Rattus norvegicus: one gene and its partner. The protein of the gene in region 2 purifies or fractionates together with the protein of the main gene of each other region. This does not show direct contact. Links are inferred from orthologs where the notes say so. Each region holds a gene or a part of one and is shown on either strand. Other genes may lie near its edges. The genes, in order: Sufu and Gli2.

Region 1 (10,731 bases), on a different chromosome or scaffold from region 2:
GGCAAGACTAAGTCTATTCCCAAGGTTTCTGCTAACCCATTTGGAAGGCTGTGAAGGCAGACATAGACACTACCTCCCATGTGTGCTAGGGAAGAGAGGCAGCCTGGCCTCTGAACCTAACAAAAGAGAAAAAGCTAGCCTGGGCCTGTGGGTAAAGAGAGTTGGGATGGATGGTCTAAGAGTTCAACCTCTGGACTCAGTCTAATGCAAATTTCAGTCCCTTTATTATCTAGATGTAGGGCTTAAGTAACTCAGTTTCCTCATCGATAAGACAGCAGCAGCAAGAGAACCCAGTGACAAGGGAGACCTCTTACACTATCCTTCTTCTTTCTGGGTGATATACTTGGCTTAGGCCAGTTGAAAAAGTAGCAAGGCTCAGCCAGGTGACGGTGTCACAGGCCTTTAATCCCAGGCAGATCTCTGTGAATTCGAGGCCAGCCTGGTCTACAGAGTAAATTCCAGAAAACAGAGCTCTACACAGAAACACAGAAACAAAAAAGTAGCAAGGCCCCTCTTGTCCTGACTCTGTAAGACTCTGTAGAGGCTGTCTTTGGAGATGGTAACATGTTCATGCAAGTGATCATAACTTTCCTCCCAGTTTGTTGTAGTTCTTCATATCTTCTATGTTGCTGTGTTAAATACTTTCATGTGGTGATTCCAGGCATGTCGTGGTTACATACTAAGGACTTGTCTCAAAAGACCTGAAGACTGTAGACTGCTTTAGCTGAAGACGGAGCTCCACGATACGGCATTCACCTACTGTGCCTGAGGACCTGGGTGTGATCCTGAAGGAGTCTCCCCTATGGAGCCAGACTGTCTACATCTAAACCCTGGCTCTGAATCAACCACCCAGTCAATCAATCAATCAATCTTGGCCCTCACACCACTGAGAAAAGATTTATGTTATAGAGGCTCTTTATGTTTTCTCATTTCTAAGTGGAGTGAATAGTATTACCTAGTAGTTTTACAGTGTTGTGCTGAAATTAAATTCATTAGTGACACAGATGTATAAATGGCTACAAGAGTCCCTGGTGCCTAATCACTGATTTAAAAAATGTTGTTAGCTTTTATAATTAGCCTAATTGTAATTTTGGAGGACTAAATACTAAGTTAATTATATTTCACTTGGTATCAAAATATGTTATGGGAATTAAAACATGTATTAGTTGATTATAAAGAGAAATTAGAGTAAGAAAAAAATTTTAATTTTCTATTATTTTGTGTGTGCAGGTATCTTGGCTGCATGTATGTCTATTGCTTATGTGTCTACTGCCTACAGAGGCCAGAAGAGGACCCTGGATCTGCTGGAACTAGAGTTAAAAGACAGTTGTGAGCTACCCCGTGGGTGCCCTGGGTCCTCTGTATGAGCAGCCATGGCTAAACTATCTCTGTCCCTGAAAGGGGTAGGATTTCAGAAGGCACAGGGCAGAGAATAGCAGCCTGGGGCTAAACACGTGAAGCAGGCAACCCAAGCACCGATGAATGCAAACTTGGCAGCACAGATCTGCAACCCCTGCCACTGGGGAGAGAGGATGGAGAGTTCAAGACCAGCTTAAGCAATTCTACAAGCCGCCCCTCCACCACAAATTCAAGACCAGCTTGGCCTACATAGCCAATTCTGGGCTAGCCAACACAGGCAGAAGGTGGAAACAGAGAGGTGACATGGAAAAGTGTTACTCCCACAGAACCAACATTATCACACATATTCAATGAAACGTCAGAAACAGGCTTAGGGTTAAGGAAAGACAGGTGGCACACACTCACTCGTGGACTCTGTTGTCACCGTAGAGATCACTCAGGCCAAAGCTGATGTAGTGCCAGTGCTCAGGGATGTTGGCAGAAGGACTCCCCATATTCCTGTACATGCTTACATAATCCAAGGGGTCTGGACCACCCAACCTGCAAAAGACAAAACACACGGTGTCACTTCAAACCTGGAAACCAGGAACTATCAAGTAAGAGGCTCTGCTCTACAAACCTGAAAGCCCCGTCCTAGAGGGAGCTATGGTGCAAGATACCTAAAGAGAGGCAAAAATCTCTGTAGAGATGAGCAAGTTCAAGAAGTTCCCTCCCCTTCCCTCCAACAGGCAGGGCCTCTTTTAGAAATAAAACAGACATTAGTGGTTACCCATCTTGCTTTTGCCTGTTTCAAGTTGCGGACTCCAAATGGAGTGAGTCTTCATCTATCTATGTCAACATGCCAGCCTTCAAGGTAAGAGATGCACCCGTCAGTCAGTGGCTTCTGTTGAATGACTGTGCGGAGCATGCCAGTGGACATCGTTCCTGAAAGTACAGCCTCCACTCCACACCCGCTTTTAGACAGATTAGCTCCTGAAAGACTGTACTGCGCCTTCTACTGTTGTTGCTTCTGAGTACACACAAAGCTTCCGGTCTGCACAGATCAAAACTTAGTCACTGCAAACGATGAAGTCCAAACGTCAGCTAGCTCGGCTCTGCACGAGGCCTGTAGTGTGAGCCAGGCTGAGCCCTGTGAGCACCTGCATCCTAAAGAGGGAGCCAGCCAGCACTTGGCTCAAAGGAAGAGCTGGGACATTTCACAGTTTAAGGCTCCTAAGGATGACATTAGATCTCCCCATAAATCCAACAGAGAGGCAGCTGAAGATTTAATTCAGTAAAAGCTCTTTTAGCAGTTAGTGCTTTAAAAAAAAAAAACAAAACCAACAGCAACAAACGAAACCTGCTCTCCCTCAGAATGGACAGGAAAACACAGTAGACTTGGGAAATACCCTAAATGAAACCCCTTAGCAGAAGAAAGTGTGCACTGAGCCCATAAACTCGGCATTCGAGCTGCCTCACGTGGACCACTCCACAGACCACAGAGTGGAGTTTGCCTTTGCCTGCCCCTGGAACATGGACAGGAGTGCACTCTGCAAGTGGGCTAAACTACTGAGGAAAAGCTAACAACCAAATAAAAGACATGGTACAAGAGATCCCAGCAAGTGTGCCAGAACCATGCAATTCAAACCCTATTTTAAAACCAGTAAGTCTGGTTTCATCCTCTTTGCCAGGATGTTACTAGCCTTTGTTGAAATCCTTATTCTTGGGGGAGGAGGGAGGCTAAGTTATTTATAGAAGTCATAAGAAAGAAAGTCACTAAAATAGCTTAGGATCTCGCCTGAGGGAGTTAGGTAGAGGGACAGATCTCTACGTCTTTAACTGTGATTTCACGAAATCATCTGATTAAACCCATAACCAGCTGGGTTTGGAAATGGTTTGGGGATGGATAGAGGAGAGAAAAGGCTGTAGAACCCTAAAAGAGACAGACTCCACACTCTTTCCAACTTCCTGCTACAAATCCCCAACAGCCCTTGACGCAGCCCAGGTCCATGCAGCAACAGGCAGTAGCACTGTGTCTCCTCTCCTTGTTCTGCTTGCAGGCATGCTGTGGCTCCCACAGCCGGTCTCCCAAGAGAGGTCACATCAAGAAGAGGCCACGAACCAAGCAAAGTTAGCCTTATACTTGCACTCAGATGAATGGGGGAAAAATCATATTTTACACTTAGGAAGAGATGCAGTCCAATGGCCCAGAACATCCCTTACCTCAATTCCCTCAACACCTGATTTCTTTCTCTCTATAGGGTAGTTGCAGGATAAGACACAAGGCTCTGCCTCCCTACTTTGATCTTGTCTTGCTTGAAAATCTCAGTCAGAGTATTCCTGGTGGCCAGGGACCACTAGCTAAAATGCTACCCCTCAACCCCCAAAGAAAGCCCATAGCCAGACGCAAGCAGTTTAGTGGGTCATACTGCTGTAAGATACTAAACATAAGGGACAGCAATAAACTTCAGTATCTCAATTCTGCAAATCCCTATGAGTTTTAGAAAGAACCATTACTAAGCTGGTTCCTCTTAGATTCCCGTGTCTAGGTGGCATTTCTTACTTCACAAAGTACTGTACATGTCTTTTCATTTGTCATCACATGCTAGTCTACCTCTGGGGATACAGCCTCACTACAAACTTGTAGAAAAAAAAATAAGTGGTATAATTACCCTTGGTCTTTTGCATAATGGTTTCATACCTCTAATGCACGACTCTGTCTTGATGGCCGTGTAGGTGATATAAAACCAGGCGCCCCATATTCTGCACAGAAACTTTTCCCTCACACTTACACAAGATTAGAGCAAACAGCACGGCAAGGCTAGCCCCATTTTTCTCATGACGTGGGACAAGTTCATCATAACTAATACAGAGGTGCAATTGAAATGGGTGATTAGGTTAGCAAGAGCTGCTTCCTGCTCAGAAGCACTCTTTGAAACTCTCTTCAGCCTGGAAACAGGCTGCCCTGCACAGATGCCTTGCCGGCATGTCTCCTGGCTACCCAGATGAGGCTGGTCCCCAGGTCCTCCCGGCTGTCAGTTTCCTTCCCATCATGTACATAACTGACACAGGGAGTTAGCCTCAGTCCTGTATAGCCTGTCGCCCATCTCCAGAGGCAATCAGAGGTTGTTACATAGGAAAAAGACTCGGCTTTAAAAGCAGTGTAAGCTGTAAAGACATCCACTTCCCCCACTTCAGGTCCAGTTTTTGCCAATTCCCCAAGCCATTGCTCCAGGTATTTTCCGGGATCCACTGAAAGGGGTCATCTAATACAGTGACTGCCTACATGAATGTGGCCATCTCTTAGTCTATTTTTGGTGCAGAAAGACCACGAGGACTTGTCCCATAACACTTGTCTGAATTCAGGCTGACTTGAAGAAACGGGTTGCAAAAAGAATAGGAGATTAGAGAGCACCATTTCTACCCCAAGGACAGCCAGCCCGTTTGGAACCTGATCGTTACTGGGCAACTTTAAACTTCGGCTGAAATCCTGAAGGCAAGGCAGGAAGCGCTTCTTCAAGCTACACTTCATTCCTCCTGCCCACTCAGGTCTCCATCACGCACCTCGTGGCAAGCTACGATCTCCTTCAATCCAGAGCCAAAGCTTGGCCCTCCCGAAACCTGTTCTTAACTAACGACCTAAAGCAAAAGCAGCTGCAAAGTCAGAAGCAAGCTCTGCAGGGAGAAAGAGAAGTGTGCAGAGTAAGCAAAAAGTTTATCTGGAAGAGCGGCTCTGTCAAACTTCAAGAGCAACAGCTTCGCACTGAATGACAGAAGCTCCAGCGTTCGTTCGGGAACCTCCCGGAAAAAAAGAAAGCTGTCTCCTCAACTCTTCACGCATCAAAGGCACAATGCCCTCACATCTTACTCCCTCCTAACCCACAGGGGCGTCCTGGTCCCCGGACCGCCCTAGACTACGCGATCTCGTACCCTCCAAAGCCCTCTCAAATGCTCTCCAGGCCCCGCCTTACCTCCCCCCCATTCCACTCCAGCCGCCCCCTGGCTCCCCCAAGCCCACTAATGACCCACCACAGGCGCCCCCTCCTTTCTCCACGTTTACAGTTCGCTCTCACACGTCCCCCCTCAGTTCCTGTATACACCCCTAGTTCTCAGTTCTCCTAATCCCGGTTAACCCCTCACTACTCAAGGGATCCATTAACCCTTTGTCCCCATTCCCAACTTCTGTCCTAACTCCTTCCACAGCATCAGGAAGCTCCTGGTTCCTAAGTACTTGGACCGTTTTCTTCCTCCCACTTCTGCAAATTACTTCGTCCCCAGTGCTCGAAGCTTTCCCGGCCAGCCCCGGTCCTCCCGAGGCCCAGAGCATACCAGTACTTGACGATAGCGGTAACCTGGAGCGGGTTCGGCTGGTCAGGGTAGAGGCGGCGGCACTCTCCGTAGATGGCGTGGAGTCCCGGGGGAAAGAGTGAAGCAAAGGCCGGGGGGGCACTAGGGCCAGAGGCCGGGGGCGCGGCGGGGCCGGGGGCGACGCTAGGCCTCAGCTCCGCCATTGGGGCGCGTAGGGCGCGCGGGGAACCCGGGAGGGTAGAGGAGGGAAAGCGCCCCTATGGGCCAGCGGACCCACTGTGGATGAAGAGTCCCCGAGGCGATGGGGGCTACGGCGAGGTCTAACTCCGCGCCTGCGCACGAGGCTCCGTCCGCCCAAGTCGGAGCCTTCAAGACGTCGGCCAGAGGATGCTGTGGGACCGCGGGGAGCTCCAGAGGGTGGGGCGTCGGCGTGCCCTTGCCTGGCACCCATTGGCTAGTGTCTTTGCCAGTCACAAGTGGGAAAGGCGTGACTTGACAATAGACTCCGCCTCCCTGCCCCTGTGTTGGGAGTGTCCCAAGGATCTTGGCCTCCCCCTAGTGTTAGGAGGAACCCAGTTTAAAACCGAGGCGCCGTACCTTGAGGTGCTAGGGTCCTATGAAAGCTCTAAGAAACGCCCGAGAAGCGCTTAACATGGTGCTAACACACGATTTTAAGATAAGCTTGACAAATGATTAAATCATCAGACTGTGTCATTATTATTAATATATTACAAGTCTAATTATTTCTTGGAACTATTGATAAAAAGAGTAACACGAAAAGTGCCTGGGGAAAATTCCTAGCTGAAAAGCATTTACCTACTCTTTCTCTTCACCTGGATATTATCATCCATCAAGGTCAAGCTCAAGAAAGATGATAAAAGTTTCTAAACCTGGGGTTGAGGATTTAGCTCAGTGGTAGAGCGCTTGCCTAGCAAGCTGCAAGTTTCTAAACCTCTTTAGACCAGTAGTTCCGTGGCATCCAACTTACAGGTAATTTTTGATAACCTCCATTGGCTTTTGCTTCACGGTTTTGTCTTGTTTTGCTTTTCGTTTTACTTTTTGTTGTTTTTCGAGACAGGTTTGTTTTCTCTGTATAGCCCCTCACTGTTCTGGAACTCACTCTATAAACCAGGCTAGCCTCGAACTCAGATCTTGCTACCTTTGCCCCAAGTGGTGAGATTAAAGGCATGCAGCACCACCCCCGGTGCTGCTGGGCTCTTGTAAGTGCCGGGCAAGCATTCTACCACTGACATTCCAGTTCCACAGATGTTTGTAATGGTTTATATTGCCCAAGTGAAGGAATGGCTGAAAGGTAGAAATAATCTGTAAAATTCAACCGCCCCTGAACTACTGACAAATCCAATCCCAACTATTCACAAGTACTTCAGACTCCAAAAGAGTGTATTGGAAACCCCTTGGAAGGGGCCTCAAATCCAGTCATGCAACATTAATCATCAACATTGTGGCTCTTTAATCTACAGACACTACAAACCCCATGGCACCATATGTCGGAAATACACTGTCCAATCTCCTAAACCCGATCTGGATGGGACTCGGTTTGGAGCAAAGAATGCTGGGGATTGTAGTTCTTCGGAGGCGAGGTCGGGCCGCTCCCTGGACGCCCAGTACCGGCGACTAGACTGCGCATGCGTGTCAGTGGCGTTTGCTGCGGACCGGGCTGGCAGTTCCTTCCTCGGAGGGAAAGATTCCTCTGCCATGGAGTCCTACGATGTGATCGCCAACCAGCCTGTTGTGATCGACAATGTGAGTAGCATCTTTCCTATCTTTGAAGGGACTGTGTTCTCCTCCAGGAAGGATTGTTTCCGAGGTTTCAGCCTAGGCCGCCAGCTCTTTGTCACTGGCCCGGCCTGTCAGGCGGGTTCAGCTGCCGCCGCCCGGGTCCTCCTCACATCCATAGTTTGAAGGCAGGGTGGCCAGCCAACACCCATGTGATGGAGAATTTGAAGGTAGACAAAGGGAAGAGCTGTAGTCCAAGAAGGGTCCTTGGACCCTCGGTTTAAGGGGCCTTAACCGTTCTCCTAGAGCTTAGCATCCGCCTTCGCTCTGGATTTCCATCACCCAATTGGCTGCTCTTGCTGTCTATCTTCTCCTATTGGTCCCGCCCTTGGGCCTTGCCCGATTAGAACAGCACTCTGCAGTTATTGGCTCCGGCGCTTGTCGCTCTTCCGGCCGCCAAGGTGTTTCCCTTCTGTAAGGGGCGGTGCCGTGCACTATAACTGTAGGGATTGGCTCAGCAATTCAGGGTGCGGAAGGCGATGGCTGGTCCACCGGCTAAGGAGTACAGTTTCCTTGGGTGTGAGCTGGAGGGGCGATTTAGTAAACTGTATCTGGGTGGGGCCGGATAATCCGGTACCATAAATGGCCATAGGATTTCAGTTATTTTTGTGATTATAAATTATAGTTAGTAAAGGTAAAAAAGAAAGGGGAGTGACAAAGGCAAGGTGCTCTCCTGTTTACAGTGCCCACTTGAGAGACAGGGAGATTTTTCAGACACAGTGGTTGTCAAGTACGCTAGCGTTTCCAGGGCGCTTTTCACCGATATGCAAGTTGAAACTTCCCAAAAAGTGAATGGCTAAGGAGAAAGTTTGCACCTCTTCTCACCGACAGAACAAACACCGAAGGTGGAAGTGATCAAGGTCATACAGCTGTGGTGCCCCATAACTTCATTGCCTTATCTAAATAGCATTCCTTTGCTAAGCACCGTTCCACAAATGCTTCGATAAGGACAAATAGAAAGAACCTAAGTGTTCCATTTATGAGGAGGAGCGATTGTCTTCAGTTTCTGTATTTCACTCAAAGGTTTGGTCCCTCCCATTCTGGTTGGAATCTTCCTATTCACTTTCCAGGTCCCTCCATTGAGACAAACTACCACTTCCCTCTGTCCGAGGCTGACCTTTTCAGAGTAACTGTGATGCTGGGAACGTGGACATACCACTAGGTTCTTTTCTTTGTATTGTAGGTGGATAGAGATTGCTTTCTCTAGTTTATGCAGGAACAGGAGGCTTGGAGAGATTTTTTTAAACTACTCACTTTAGGAGTTGAGGATCCAAATCTCACACTGAAATCTGGTTCCAAGTTCTTCAGTCCTTCCAGGAAGGCTACTGTATTTGTTATGAACTGCCTTTTTAAAGGGGGAGGCTGAGGCTGGGGGTGTAGCCCAGATGCTAGAGCTTGTCTGACATTCATGAAATCCTGGGCTCCATCCGCAGCACAGCATAAACCTAGTGTATAAGCAGGTGTGGTGGTCCATGTCTGTAATCCCAGGACTAGAGAGGTAGAGACAGGAAAATGAGAAATGCAAGGTCATTGTTTGAAGCCGGCCTCTAAGGTGTGACATTGTTGGGAGCAGGGAATGGGAGCAAGGTTAGTTAAATAAGACCCATTATTTTGGGGGTTTGTTTTTGGTTTTGTCTCCCTCAATAGCCTCAGTAGACTTTTTAACCCTTGTGGATAAGAGGGTGAGATCCTTCTTTTTTTATTAATCCCTCTACCCACTCTACACAGCCCAAGGCCCCTTATGCTCTCTCTCTCTCTCTCTCTCTCTCTCTCTCTCTCTCCCTCTCTCCCCCTCTCCCCCTCTCCCTCTCCCTCTCTCTCTCTCTCTCTCTCTCTCTCTCTCTCTCTCTCTCTCTCTCTCGTTTGTGTGTGTTCGTGCCTTTAGAGGCCAGAAGAGGTCATTAATTCCTCTTCATAGAGCTGCAGGCAGTTATGAGCTATCCAACATGGTTGCAGTGCAGAAGGGATCCAACTCTGGTCCTCCCAAAGGGCTGTAGCTAGTGCTCTGAACTAATGGGCCAACTCCCCAGCCCTCGACTGTTCGATTTACACCCAACTCTACACAGTACCTAGGGCCTGGTAGCACTGTGTACAAAATGAGGCCTTCTTATTGGCTAAGTGGTAAATAGACAACTAATGATTGCTGTCATGTCAACAAAGATGTCCAGTGTTCGGTACGGAGGTGGGGGTGGGGGGAAACCCGGTCAGGATGAGGGGTTTCAGCTAATGTAATGCTGTAAATGATGAATAACACTTCTTTCTTTCGTTTGTTTGAGACGGGGTCTTTGTGAATTCTTGTTTTCAATGTTAATATCTAGACAAAACCAACTAAGTCTTTTTTTCTTGTTTTTTTTTTTTTTCTTTTTTCCGGGGCTGGGGACCGAACCCAGGACCTTGCGCTTCCTAGGCAAGCGCTCTACCACTGAGCCAAATCCCCAACCCCCCAACTAAGTCTTTAGCCAGTTCCTGTGTGTTAGGTCTCCTTTTTCTTAGTTGTTGAAAGAAAAAAAATGCATAGAAATGATCTACCTCAGACTGGAGAGATGGCTCAGCAGTTAAGAGTGATTGGTGCTCTTCCAGAGGTCCAAAGCTTGATGCCTAGCACCCACATAGGCAGGTTACAACCTGTCACTGAAGCTCCAGATGGGCAGGAATTCTCTTTGGTCTGAGAGCTGTTTTACTCATATAGACAGACCCACACACAGGACGTTCACACACACACACACACTTAAAATAAAGAGTTATCATGGACTGGAGAGATGGCTCAGAGGTTAAGAGCACTGACTTCTCTTCCAGAGGTCCTAAGTTCAATTCCCAGCAACCACATGGTGGCTCACAGCCATCTGTAATGGGATCTGATGCCTTCTTCTGGTGTGTCTGAAGACAGCAACAGTGTACTCACATACATTAAATAAATAAATAAATAAATAAATAAATAAATAAATAAATAAATAAATAAATGTGTTATCAGTTTTGCTTTGGCATTAGCAGTGCAGGAGCAGTCTGTCCATCCCCACAGCTCCCCTGCCTTGGATCCCTGGAGCTGGAATTACAGGTGGTTGTGAGCCACTCAGTGTGGATGCTAGGAACCAGACTCCAGTCCTCTGGAAGGACAGCAAGTACTCCTAACTGATGTGCTATCTCTTCAGCCCCTGGTTTCTTTTCCTTATTTGAGATTTAAATACCTGTATCACATGCATGCAGTGCCTGAGGAAGTCAGAAGAGGGCATCGGATGCCTTGGAACTGGAATTAATAGTCAGTTGAGAGCTTCTGAGTGATGCTTGGGA
Region 2 (10,827 bases):
GAAAGATTTTTCTTACCTCCTTTCTACCATTTTTGGTGTGTGTGTGTGTGTGTGTGTGTGTGTGTGTGTGTGTGTGTGTTTAAATCAGACAAGCAGTTGCAATCTAGCATGAAGAAAAAGAATCTGAGGAATGGACTGGTATGTAGTAAGATGAAAAATGCAACTGCCTCCTGTGTATGGCGGGCTCGAGGCAGGCTTAGCCTCATGAACACACACACACACACACACACACACACACACACACACACACACACAGCACTCCAGTTATTAATGTCAAGAATGCCAAAGATACGCTGGAAAATCATTACCATTCATCGCCACTAACCGCCATTAAACTTCAATCAATTCAACTTAGCACAAGTGTACTTGAGCGGCCCTTACAGTTTCTTATAAATGAGGCTCCGAAGTCGGCCTGACTTATTTCATTGTCCAAGGCACAAAGACAGGGCGCTAAGTAGGGACTGAATGGGGCCTATACGGGGCCCCGCACGATGTTCTTTTAAACATTCTGTCCTAAGTGTTCAACGATCTTTTTCTGCAAGCTGAGAGGTCAGGACGAATGGGCATGGCCCAGAGAAGCACCCATTCCTTCCCAGCTTTGGGGCCTTGTAAGCTACACCCTGCAGATGTCTAAGGGAAGTTTCAAACGCCACCGAAAGTTTAGCAAACGGATCTCTCTCTCCCTCATCAAAGACTCCGGTTCTCTAAACTTGAGCCTCTGAGGGAGGCATGAGGAAGGAGACCCAGGGGCAGGGAGGTTAAGAACACCGTGTCGGCCCCGGCTCAGGTGGACACTGTGCCCCAGGCGGGCACCACGACCTGGCCCTCTGGCCTTCTTCCTACCCCGCCACGAGCAGGGTCCCGGGCGGCTCTAGCCACCCGCCGCAACAATGTAGCCATTGTTCGCGCTCGCGGAGCCGGCGGGCGCGCAGGTGGGAGGCCGCGGGCGCTCGGGCACGGAATGTTCCCCGGACGGGGCGCGCTCGGCGCCGCCCGGACACGCGGCCTGCGCGGCCCCACGGGGACGACGGAGCCTCGGAGGGGCGGGGCGGGGCGGGGCGGGACGGGATGGGGCGGGGCGGGGGCAGACGGGGGGGGGTGGGGCGGAGGAGGGAGAGACAAAGAGGAGCAGGAGAGGAAAGGAGGGATGGAGAGGGTACGAGAAGGGGGGCGGGGAGAGAAGAAAGTGGAGGCAGGAAGAAAAGGAACGATGGGGAAAAGAAAGCAGACGGGAAGTTATGAAGGGCAGGAGGAAGGGAAGACAAGGTGGTAGAAAGGAGAAAAGGACAGAAGAGATTGGAGGGAGGGAAGGAGAGAGGGTAGAAAAACGAGGAAGAAAGAATAAGTGAGACACACAACAGCCCAGAGGTATGAGAGCCCAGTAAGACTGAGGAAAGAACAAGAGTTCACCCTCATACAGAAAAAGGGCTCCAAGCCCCGCCAAGTCAGCAGCCTTAATCACACCCGGGGCTTTGCATAATTACAGGGTGAAAGCCAGGTCTAGAGGTAGGGAGATACTTAACTGTGTCCCAGGGAAAGCTGAGGGCAGGGACAGGCTGTGAAGGCTGTCTCTCCTCCACCCATGCCAACCCCTCAGAGCCTGGATCCTAGAGGAAAAGGTTGCGGGCTGCAGCAACACTGACCACCACGGGCCTGAAAGCTGCATTTCACGTCCCCTTGGATAGGAATCCAGTCTGTAGTGGGGCCACCCTCTGGAGTGCCCTCCCTGGAGGACTGGGACCCTCTGCACGCAAAGAGGTGATTCAATCCTAGTCCCCTGCTAATGAATTAAAAAGTTCTCTTTATTTCATTTGCTGGTTTTGGGTTCATTAAATTTTCCACAGATTTGCAGAGACAAAAGCAGTCAATAAACGCAGACAAAAGTGGCCGCATCAAAAAGGGCAGAGAATTGGGAAAAGGCAAGATAAAAGTGATATCTGATCCCAGATCCGCAGGCGGCGAAGGAGCAGAGGCTGCAGGGAGAATCTCAACGGGCCATCACCCTCCTCAGCCTGCCTCCCATTAGTACCAACTCCCCATTCAAGACAATAGCCAAAGCACTAAAAGTGGTTTTCCTATGCTAATGTTGAAACCCAGCACTCGGTTAAAACACACTTCCCAGAAACCTGCCTTTTTAAAAATCACACATGTGAAACACACACCAAAAAAAAAAAGAAAGAAAGAAGAAAAAAATCTCCACATTAATTCGTTCTATTTAAACCCAAGTCTTAAAAAAAAGGAAAAAAAAAAAAGAAAAGTAAAGAAACAAATGTAATGGTTACTGCCTGGTCACATCTTAACGGTTATTTCCCAGCATGTGTATGTTAGGTAAAACGCCAGAGGGAAAACCTAAGTAGAAACACGACTTCTTCAGTTGTTGGAAGAATTCGGGACAGTAGGCCTCACCAAAAGAGGTCATCTTCCCATGTTCTGTCACCCTCAAAAATCTAAAAATAGTGACCCAAAGTTTTTCCAAGTCCTTTACGTTTTCCACAAGCCCTCAGATTCGAAAACATGATTAGTACTAAATATGCTGGCGTATTTACCTGAAAGCCACAGAATGGCAGAGAAGGTGGCCTTCTTTAGGGTCCTGTCAGAGGACAGCCAGTGCTACTGACCTCACTCCATACCTGCTATTAGCAAACGAGGCCAAAGTACTCATTCCCTTCCCCCCAGATTCTTTAAAAGTGACAGTAAGCCCAGCACCAAACATCTGGGTAGTCTGGCTGTCGACCCAATCACTGATTCTGCCCCTCCTGATGTTCTAGAATCTGAGAACAGAGTCTTTAGTTGGCCTTCGTGTGTCCACGCCTCTGATGCTTAGTGAATGGAAGAAAGGAGGGAGCTGCTTCCCTGGGGTTCCCTTTCAAAGGGCGCCCCCAGGCCCAGCAGCTGCAGCTGCCCACAGTGAGGTCCACCTGGCCTTGTGGCCCCTGATGTGCCAGTTAACAGGCACTGTACAGGTAGACCTCCCACCGGAGACCCCCAGCTGAAGACACTGGGCAAGCAGCCCCACCCTGTTCCCTGCGGTTTGAGCAGCAAAGGCCAGCTGCACCCACAAGGTTTTAGGACTCTGTTTTTGAGCTTTAACAAGCCAGCTGGGTGTGAGGGGTCACAGCCGCATTCACAGTGCATACAACAACCTCATGGTCTCATTTAAAGGGAACTGCTAGTGTCTGGGCACTGAAGCTTTCGGGGGGGGGGGGGAATGCTGAGGGAAGAAGAGTACTTAGTATAGGCAAATATCCAATGTTGTCTGCCTGCTTGCAGACTGTCCCGGATTCACTAATCCAGCCCCAGGGGCTGCACTGTGTACAGGGCTCTTGTAGAAGTACAAAAAAAGAGTGAAGTATTTGTGTATTTTTCAGGCTGCAGTGCAAACAAGCCAGCTGCAGGACACAGGCCCTGAGACCCCCACAGCAACCAGGAAATGAGCTTGTGTCCAATAACCACACACACACACACACACACACACACACACACACACACACACACACGCCCCTCTTACTATTAAGCAACTCAAAAGCACATCTTCTCTCCCCATGGCTCAGTGCTCAATGCTCTCCCAAGCCTGCAAGGCCAGAGGAACATCTTGAGAAAGTGAAGCTCCTGGCTAACTCCGGACACACTTCAAGGTGGTCCTCCTTCCAGGCCCGACTTGAATTTGGGAGCAGACCTCAGTCAGTCTGAATTCGGTGCATATTCCCACACCATGTCAGCTCAGTTCCCACCCAAGCACAGATGTAGATTTATCAATCCCAGTCCCAATTAGTTCATGGATGAGCCCAGCCCTGGGTAGGAAAAAGATGTTTGCTTTCCCAGACACGGGAGGCGAAGCAAGAGCCGATCTCCTACAGGACTCGCTATTACAAAGAACCTTCTCCTGTGTTACTCTAAGCCCCGCTAGGATCAGGAAAGGTCTCATGGCATTTGGGGGGCGGGCATCCTAAATCTTCCTACATGTAATTAATATTAAAATTCATCAGATGAGCTCTCTGTAGAGCAGGCAACACCTGAGTAGAAACTGTATCCAGAAGAGGCCATTTCTAAATCCTGGAACCCTCTAGAGAGAAGCAGCAAGTTAGAGAAAAGGGAAAACAAGATGTAGAGATGCTAGAAGTGAAACCTTCAGCAGGAGGGGCCTGCTTGGTTTAGACTGGGCGTTCTGGGATTAGGGCCCCAGGATAGAACAGAAGCTGGAAGAAGGCAAAAGCCTCAAAACTCAAAGCAAGCTAGCATCCAGAATGTTTCCTCCTAGTTAGGGAGACCAATCCAGGTAGGAACACAGTGTATTCCCTCCTCCATTCCAGACCGACTGAGCTCTTGAAGGGGCCAGACCCCAAGACACACGGAAGCCTACTCAAAAAGGGAAACCGCAGCCAAGGTGAGGAAATGGGCGGGGAGGGGGGTCGAAGGAGAGGTGGCTAGAACAAACAGATAACATCAGGGAGACTTGTGACAAGCCCGCCTATTCCGCCCGCTACCCCCCCCCCCGTGCTGTATATTTTGGATTTCACAGTTTATTTACTTTTCTTTTCTGGCACCGAGCCCCCGGAGCATGCCAATACAATATTTGTTTAAACACTATTTTATGCCGCTTGCGAGGGAAACGTTTACTTTCAAATTCTCCAACATCCCCCAGAGCCTCGTCTGCAAACAGCATATGAGCGTTTTACAACTGTTCCCTTTATCTGAAGCTGTGGGGATTAAACCTTCACACGCCCAGTGAGGGCGGAGGGGCAAGGGGCCCAGGACATCGGGCCACCGAACAGCAAGATGAAGGATGCCCCAACCGGGGAAGAGAGAGGTACAGAACCCATCCCCTCCCAGCCTCTGAGGGATGAAACTACTGAGAGAAGTCTCTTGAACCCCTGCTCCAACTGGGATCAGCTCTGGGAACCACAGGACAGTTACACAAAAGAGAGAGCCTAGAAGGAGAGGCGCTCTGGGGGATCCCCACAAACTCATTGCGTCTTTGTGGCCAGGTCACTCGAGGTGAAGCGCAAGGGCTCCATCCTTAGCGTCCTCAAGCTCTAAAAGTCAGGTTTCCAAGGAAATGAGAGCAATTGCTGCGGGACTGAAAAGAAGCCCAGTGGGTGGACTTCCAGCTCCCGACGCGGCGGGAGTCCTCTCGAACTCACTCAAGCACACGGTCCCTCCCCCCACCCCCCAATCCCGGAGGAAAAAAAAAAACGTTCCCCTCTCTCTAAACCCTTAATAGGATTGGCGCCCAACTCTGTCCGCGCCGCTCCTCATCCATCACACACAGATCAAGTTGCAGTAGTGGATTTTTCAAATTCCTCAGCAAATATACTTGTTGAGAGATTGCTTGGGGGGTGTTAAGTGGGGGCTAGAATGAAAGCGAGGAGTAGGGGGAACCGATCCCTCGGCGAAGGATTACACGTGGATCCATTCGAGAAGTCAAGGGGATCTGGAGACCTAGGGTAAGAGAGAAAGGTAAGGAAACCAGAACCGAGGTCCAGAGACTGGTGGAGGGGGGAAGGGGCAACAGGGTTCAACGAGGGGGAAAGAAGGAGAGAGGAAGAAAGAAAAGACTGGGCTCAGGGACGCGGACTCACAGCGCGGAGAAGTGGAGTTGCAAGTTTCCAAGTGGCCGGCGGCAGCTGCAGCACACCGCACGGGCGCGCTCCCAACTGCCCATCTAAGGGAGCTTCGGCGCACCCCAGACCCCACGTCGCCCCCAAACAGTTCAGGCTCCGAGCGGTGCCACCGGTCAAAGACCGGCCTACCCGAGCAACCCAAGAAGAAGCACTATCCCTCAAGTGGAGGGCAGCGGTAATAAAATCGACCCCAGACACGAGTTCTGATCCCCAAGATCCTCCTTAAGTCTTGCCGCTGCTGGACCAGAGCAATAATCAGAGTTGCCCTCTCTGACCGACCCCCTAAAATCAGTGTCACGATCTCGATTCCGGCAACACTCCGAAAACCTCACAGCATCTCAGCCGAAGCTGGCCAGGCTAGGAAGTGCTTCGCCACCAAGAGTAAGGGGGGGGGGGAAGAAAGGAAGAAAAGAAAAGAAAAAAAGGGGGTGGGGAAGCCAATGCAACTTTACCGAGGAGACAAAAGTTTGCCTCTAGCACGCAGGTGGCCTCTCGGGCGCCGGGCAGTGGTTGTAGGGCCCCATCCCAACTTGGCTGGAGTGGGGCTGCCGAGTGCCGGGTCTCGGGCCGCCGGGGCTGGGCTGGCCAGGCAGAAGAGGGGACCAAGGCGGGCGGGGGACCCGGCAGTCCCAAAGGACACCAGGCCAGCAGCTCCCGGAGGCTGCGAAGCTACGCACGGCCCGCGCTCCTTCCTCTGGCTCCTCCTCGCCTTCCTCCGCGTCCTCTGTAGCCGCCGCCGCCTCCCGCTCCTCCTCGAAGTCTCATTGATGAGAGGAGTTTGAAAAAAAGTCCGCGGAGCCGTGCTGCCTCGGCTGGCGAACGCCGGCACTCCTGCAATCCATCAGCGTCTCCGGGATGGCGCAGCGCCCCCGCGCGCCGAGCACGGGCACACCCGGATAGTCGCGTCCTTAGCCTGTCCGCCCCCGCCGCGTGCACCCCGCCTCTGAGGATGGGGGCGGGGGGAACACCACCCTGGATGGGGCTAGCGAGAGGGCGAACACAGATTCCCCTCCACTAGAGCTCCAGCAAGGAAAGCACCCCTCCTGGAAAGTTCGAGTTGGGGACCAGAGAACCCTGGGAGTTAGGGACTGGGGGCGAGGATAACGACCCAGACGCCACTCTGGAGGAGAGGAGCTGGAAATATCGCAGATTCTTCCAACCTAGCTCGGAGGAAATAAAGCACTCCTACTGGAAAGTTCCAGCTACGGGAGCACACGCCAGTCTCAAACACTTTTTCTAAGGCGCCGGGGTGGGGGGGTTGCTAACTCAAGTCAGATGAGCTCTGGAGCTCGGGAGCTGCGACTGCTGGTTTCAATATCTGAACTCCCCTTTTCCTCTCAGCCCCCTCAGCCCTCCGCCGGTTGTTCCCAAAACTCCCTGACCCTCCAGCGCCGTAGCAGGAAGAAGACACACGTGGGATGGGAAGCAAGACTGGATTCACGCGGGCCCTCCTCGCCCGTGCAGCTAGTGCAGGTGCCCGGGCGGGGGGGGGGGGGGAACCCAGACGCCCCTTGCCAAGGCTCGCTCTTGCCGCCATCTGAGAGCACGCTGGCGACAAATGACGCCAGCCTTAGGCTTACTGCATATGTTTTGTAGTGAGGGGGTTTTGTTTTATTTTTTTTTTTTTCGGAGACTCCACTGAAGCTGCTTCAGCCAGATGGAAGTAATCAGAACTCAACAGAGGGAGAAGGAAGAATTAGGCTCACTGAAGTTGCAGGCCAAAGTGTAGATGAAGCTGTGCATGAACGCGTTTGCCTAAGTAGCCCTGGTTCTTCCACACAGTCCAGAACCGTGCCCTCCCAAGCCATGGGACTCCACTTCCTCTTGGGCTCTGCTCCTAGAAAGCTGACCATGGGACTTCTTTATATTTCTGCCTGACGTTTGTGGAAACCCTGTGTTCTAGTTACTTTGTATTATTTAACTTGTCACAGGGTCTTCTCCTTCTTTTAAAGGTGGGATGGATGGCTGATGGTTGATGAAGCTGTAAAACTTGACCACGGTAATCTAAGGTTGGTACAGTTAAGTAGGTGTGTGAGGATGTTGGTAGCATCTCTTTCCAGCCCCTCCTGTCTAAAATGCAAGAGAACCGAGACTCCAGACCAATCCTACCCTGCCGAGGACATGGGTCCTTCTCAGCCCATTTTACTCACTGAATCAATCCCTCTTGATGGACGGCAATTATCCTATGGGCTCTTCCCTAACTCTTATTTGTTTCTGTAAGTCAGTATCTCCGTACTTTTTGAAATAGAACCCAAGGCCATCCTCCGAGGTCCACCTCTGAGCCCCTAAGTTTTACATTTAAATTTTTTTCCATGTATTTATTCTATGGGGCAGGGTGTGAGGTCACAGTCCTTTGGCAACAGTCAGAGGGTAGGGCAGAAGGGGGCTGTTTCCCTCCTTCCATCTTGTAACTGCTGAGAATCCAACCCAGGCCCACACAAGCACTGTATTGACCTAGTCACCTTATTGGCCTTGACTTTCACTTTCTAACAGATGGGGAAGTGTTGTGTCCCCGTTCTTCATTTCCTTCCTTCCTTCTCTTTCCCTCAAATGAAAGAAGCAACTATTTTTTTTTCTTTATCTGAGGGAGGGGGAGGCATAAAATACTACAACGATTTGATGCCAACTTTGTTTTCCTCAAAGTAGGCCTCGCAGATTGGAAGCCAAGGAGTGGGGAAGTGGCAGTGTGCTCAAATGTAAAACTTTCTGGAGGGGTATGACGATTCGTAGTGTGCTGTGACAAAACTTTTCCTGGGGAGCCACAGTGCGTGTTTACCTCTCCACACCCCAGCCCCGAGATAGGAACCCACAACAGTTCAAAGTATGGACACCACCAAAGTCTGACTTGGTGAACCAATGAGGTTTTTGCTTGCAGGGTATGGGCAAGGAGCTACTCATAGGAGCGGGAATCACTCAAAGACAGCTGCGTCACCGAAGCCCACCCCAGCATGGTGACAGCTCAGAAAGCTGGGAACCCATGCACAGCCTCCAGACAGCTCAATAGGCCGGAGTGTCCTTTGCAGATGTCTGGTTGGGCTAAACCTCTTCCCGACGGCCAGGCTGGTCTCTGCTTCTCTCAGGCAGCTGGTCTGGTCTTAGAGACTCCTCTGCAGCTCTGTTTCTTCACTTGAGGGAGACTCTCAACTTTTATTATTTACTCTGGCAGGGAGGGGCCTAGTGAATCTGGTAAGTTCCAGGGCCTTCCTGGAGCTATTTTGAGTTGTTTACCTTCCTGTGTAAAGAGCTTCCCTGCAGGATGGACTCTCTTTCAATCTCAGAGGAAGCCTAAGTTAGGCAGCATGTGCCTTTAGTCCTGAGACTTCAGAGGCAGGCAGATCTGAGATGAGAGGCCAGCCTGGTCTACATTGCCAGTTCCAGACCAGCCAGGGACACATAATGAGACCCTGTCTTTAAAAAAAAAAAGAGTAATACTTAAAAGAAAAATTTACAGAAACCAATATGGATAATGTAGGATAAAGGGTCATGGAGATGGGTCAGAGGTCAGGGCACTTGCTATGGATCTACTCTGACCTAATCGGATCCCTAGGACTCACATAAGTGAAAGACAGGACAGACTCCAGCAGATTGTCCTCTGACCTCTACGTACCATCTGTGACATGTGAGCCCCCCCCCAAATACATGTAAACAAAAACCAGAAAAACAAAAAGATACCTGAAACAGGCTTTTCCTTGTAAACCTCAGAATATCAACCCATCACTCCTCCCAGCTGCTTCTCTTCACTTCTGCTGAGCTTTCTGGACATAGATAGCAAAAGTAAGCCCTCTCCCTCCCTTGGCTGCATTTAATGACCCCATTCATATCTGCCCCGTGAAGCCAGGACTCATTTCTCCTGGCTGGAATATTCGCAGAGTCAGCTGATTACTTCATTACCAGCTTGTCTCTCTTGCTTTCTTTGCATTGTAAAGTTTGTGGAGAAATTTAAACAAATCAACGTCCGGAGGGAGAGATTGCTTTCCCTCTGTTTTTCTTCTTGGACCAGTTCAACTCCTGCAGGAATCTAGGCCTTCACCAAACCTTTCTGGCTTATTTTGGCAAGAAAGTCATAGAGGAGATGAGGATGTAATGTTTGGGGTTCGAGGGGAGCTGTGCAAACATCACGTCCTACTGTCCCTCGATGGTCAGAAGTTGGGAGCCTCAGAAAGAGGAAGAGAGGTTTGGAATGCAGAAGAAGCCCTTGTAGACACTGGGACACTGAATGCTCATCCCAGAGTTTATATTCAGTGCAGGGCGCTAGTTAAGTCCAACTTCCTTCAGCAGCTTTCTGTGTAGCCGGCGCTAGTGTCGTGACACCCACCACAGTGAGTAGCACTCACAGCATCCATCCTTCCAACTCATAACCACAAAGTGGGTAAAGACAAAAGACAAGGAACGCACTTTGAGAGAGCATGGGACCTATGGGCAGAGAGGCCTGTCCTGGGGAAGTTAAGTACAGAAAGATGGACAAAGATGACGAAAGTGGGACATGGCTTCTCTAATCCTTCTTGATGATATTAATGCGAATGTTCCCTGTAGTCTCATACATTGGAATGCTTAGTCACCAGTGAGTGGAACTGTTTGGGAAGGATTAGGAGGCGTGGCCTTGTGGGATGAGGTCTGTCACTGGAAGTGAGCTTTGAGGTTTCAAAACCCATCCAACACCCCCCCTGCCCTTCTCTTCCTCCTCCTCTCTTCCCTTCCTCTCCCCACCCCCTGCTCCTGTCATTATGATAATGGACTAACCCTCTAAAATTGTAAGCAAGCCCCTATTAAATGCTTTCCTTTACAATTTGCCTTGGTCATTTTGTCTCCATGTGTAAGTATGTACATATGTGTGTGTGTGTGTGTGTGTGTGTGTGTGTGTGTATGTTAGTATTTACAAAGGCAAGAACACAACACATCAGTGTTGTTCCTCAGAAGACATCCACCTTTACTTTGGGAGGGGTTGTTTATTTTGAGAGGTTATTTTTAGATTTATTTATGCTTACTTTCTGTACATGAGTGTTTTGCCTGCATGTGTGTCTGTGTATCACATGTGTGCAGTGCCTGTGGAGGCCAAAAGAGGGTATTGGATCCTTTGGAGCTAGAGTTACAGATGACTGTAGGCTGCTATGTGAGTGTTCGAAACCTGGTCCTCTGCGCTAGGAACGAATGTTCCAACTGCTGAGCCTTCTCCTCAGGCCCACCTTTGCGTTCTCAATCAGGGTCT

What was found.
Region 1: the proteins of Gli2 (region 2) and Sufu purify together in Homo sapiens (affinity purification with mass spectrometry; 3 studies listed by BioGRID and IntAct, with this or other methods). This does not show direct contact. The link is inferred for Rattus norvegicus from reciprocal best matches to the Homo sapiens genes GLI2 and SUFU.

Annotation. Positions count from the first base shown.
Region 1 is NC_086019.1:255,194,477-255,205,207, reverse strand, and holds the start of Sufu (suppressor of fused homolog), read right to left. Parts: upstream 6,020-10,731; 5' UTR 5,850-6,019; coding exon 5,668-5,849; intron 1,900-5,667; coding exon 1,765-1,899; intron 1,759-1,764; exon of another isoform or gene 1-1,758. Other genes in the region: Actr1a (alpha-centractin), read left to right, coding at 7,363-7,410. UniProt on the Homo sapiens protein: Negative regulator in the hedgehog/smoothened signaling pathway. Down-regulates GLI1-mediated transactivation of target genes. Down-regulates GLI2-mediated transactivation of target genes. Part of a corepressor complex that acts on DNA-bound GLI1.
Region 2 is NC_086031.1:32,710,032-32,720,858, forward strand, and holds the start of Gli2 (zinc finger protein GLI2), read right to left. Parts: upstream 6,388-10,827; 5' UTR 6,074-6,387; intron 1-6,073. UniProt on the Homo sapiens protein: Functions as a transcription regulator in the hedgehog (Hh) pathway. Functions as a transcriptional activator. May also function as transcriptional repressor. Requires STK36 for full transcriptional activator activity.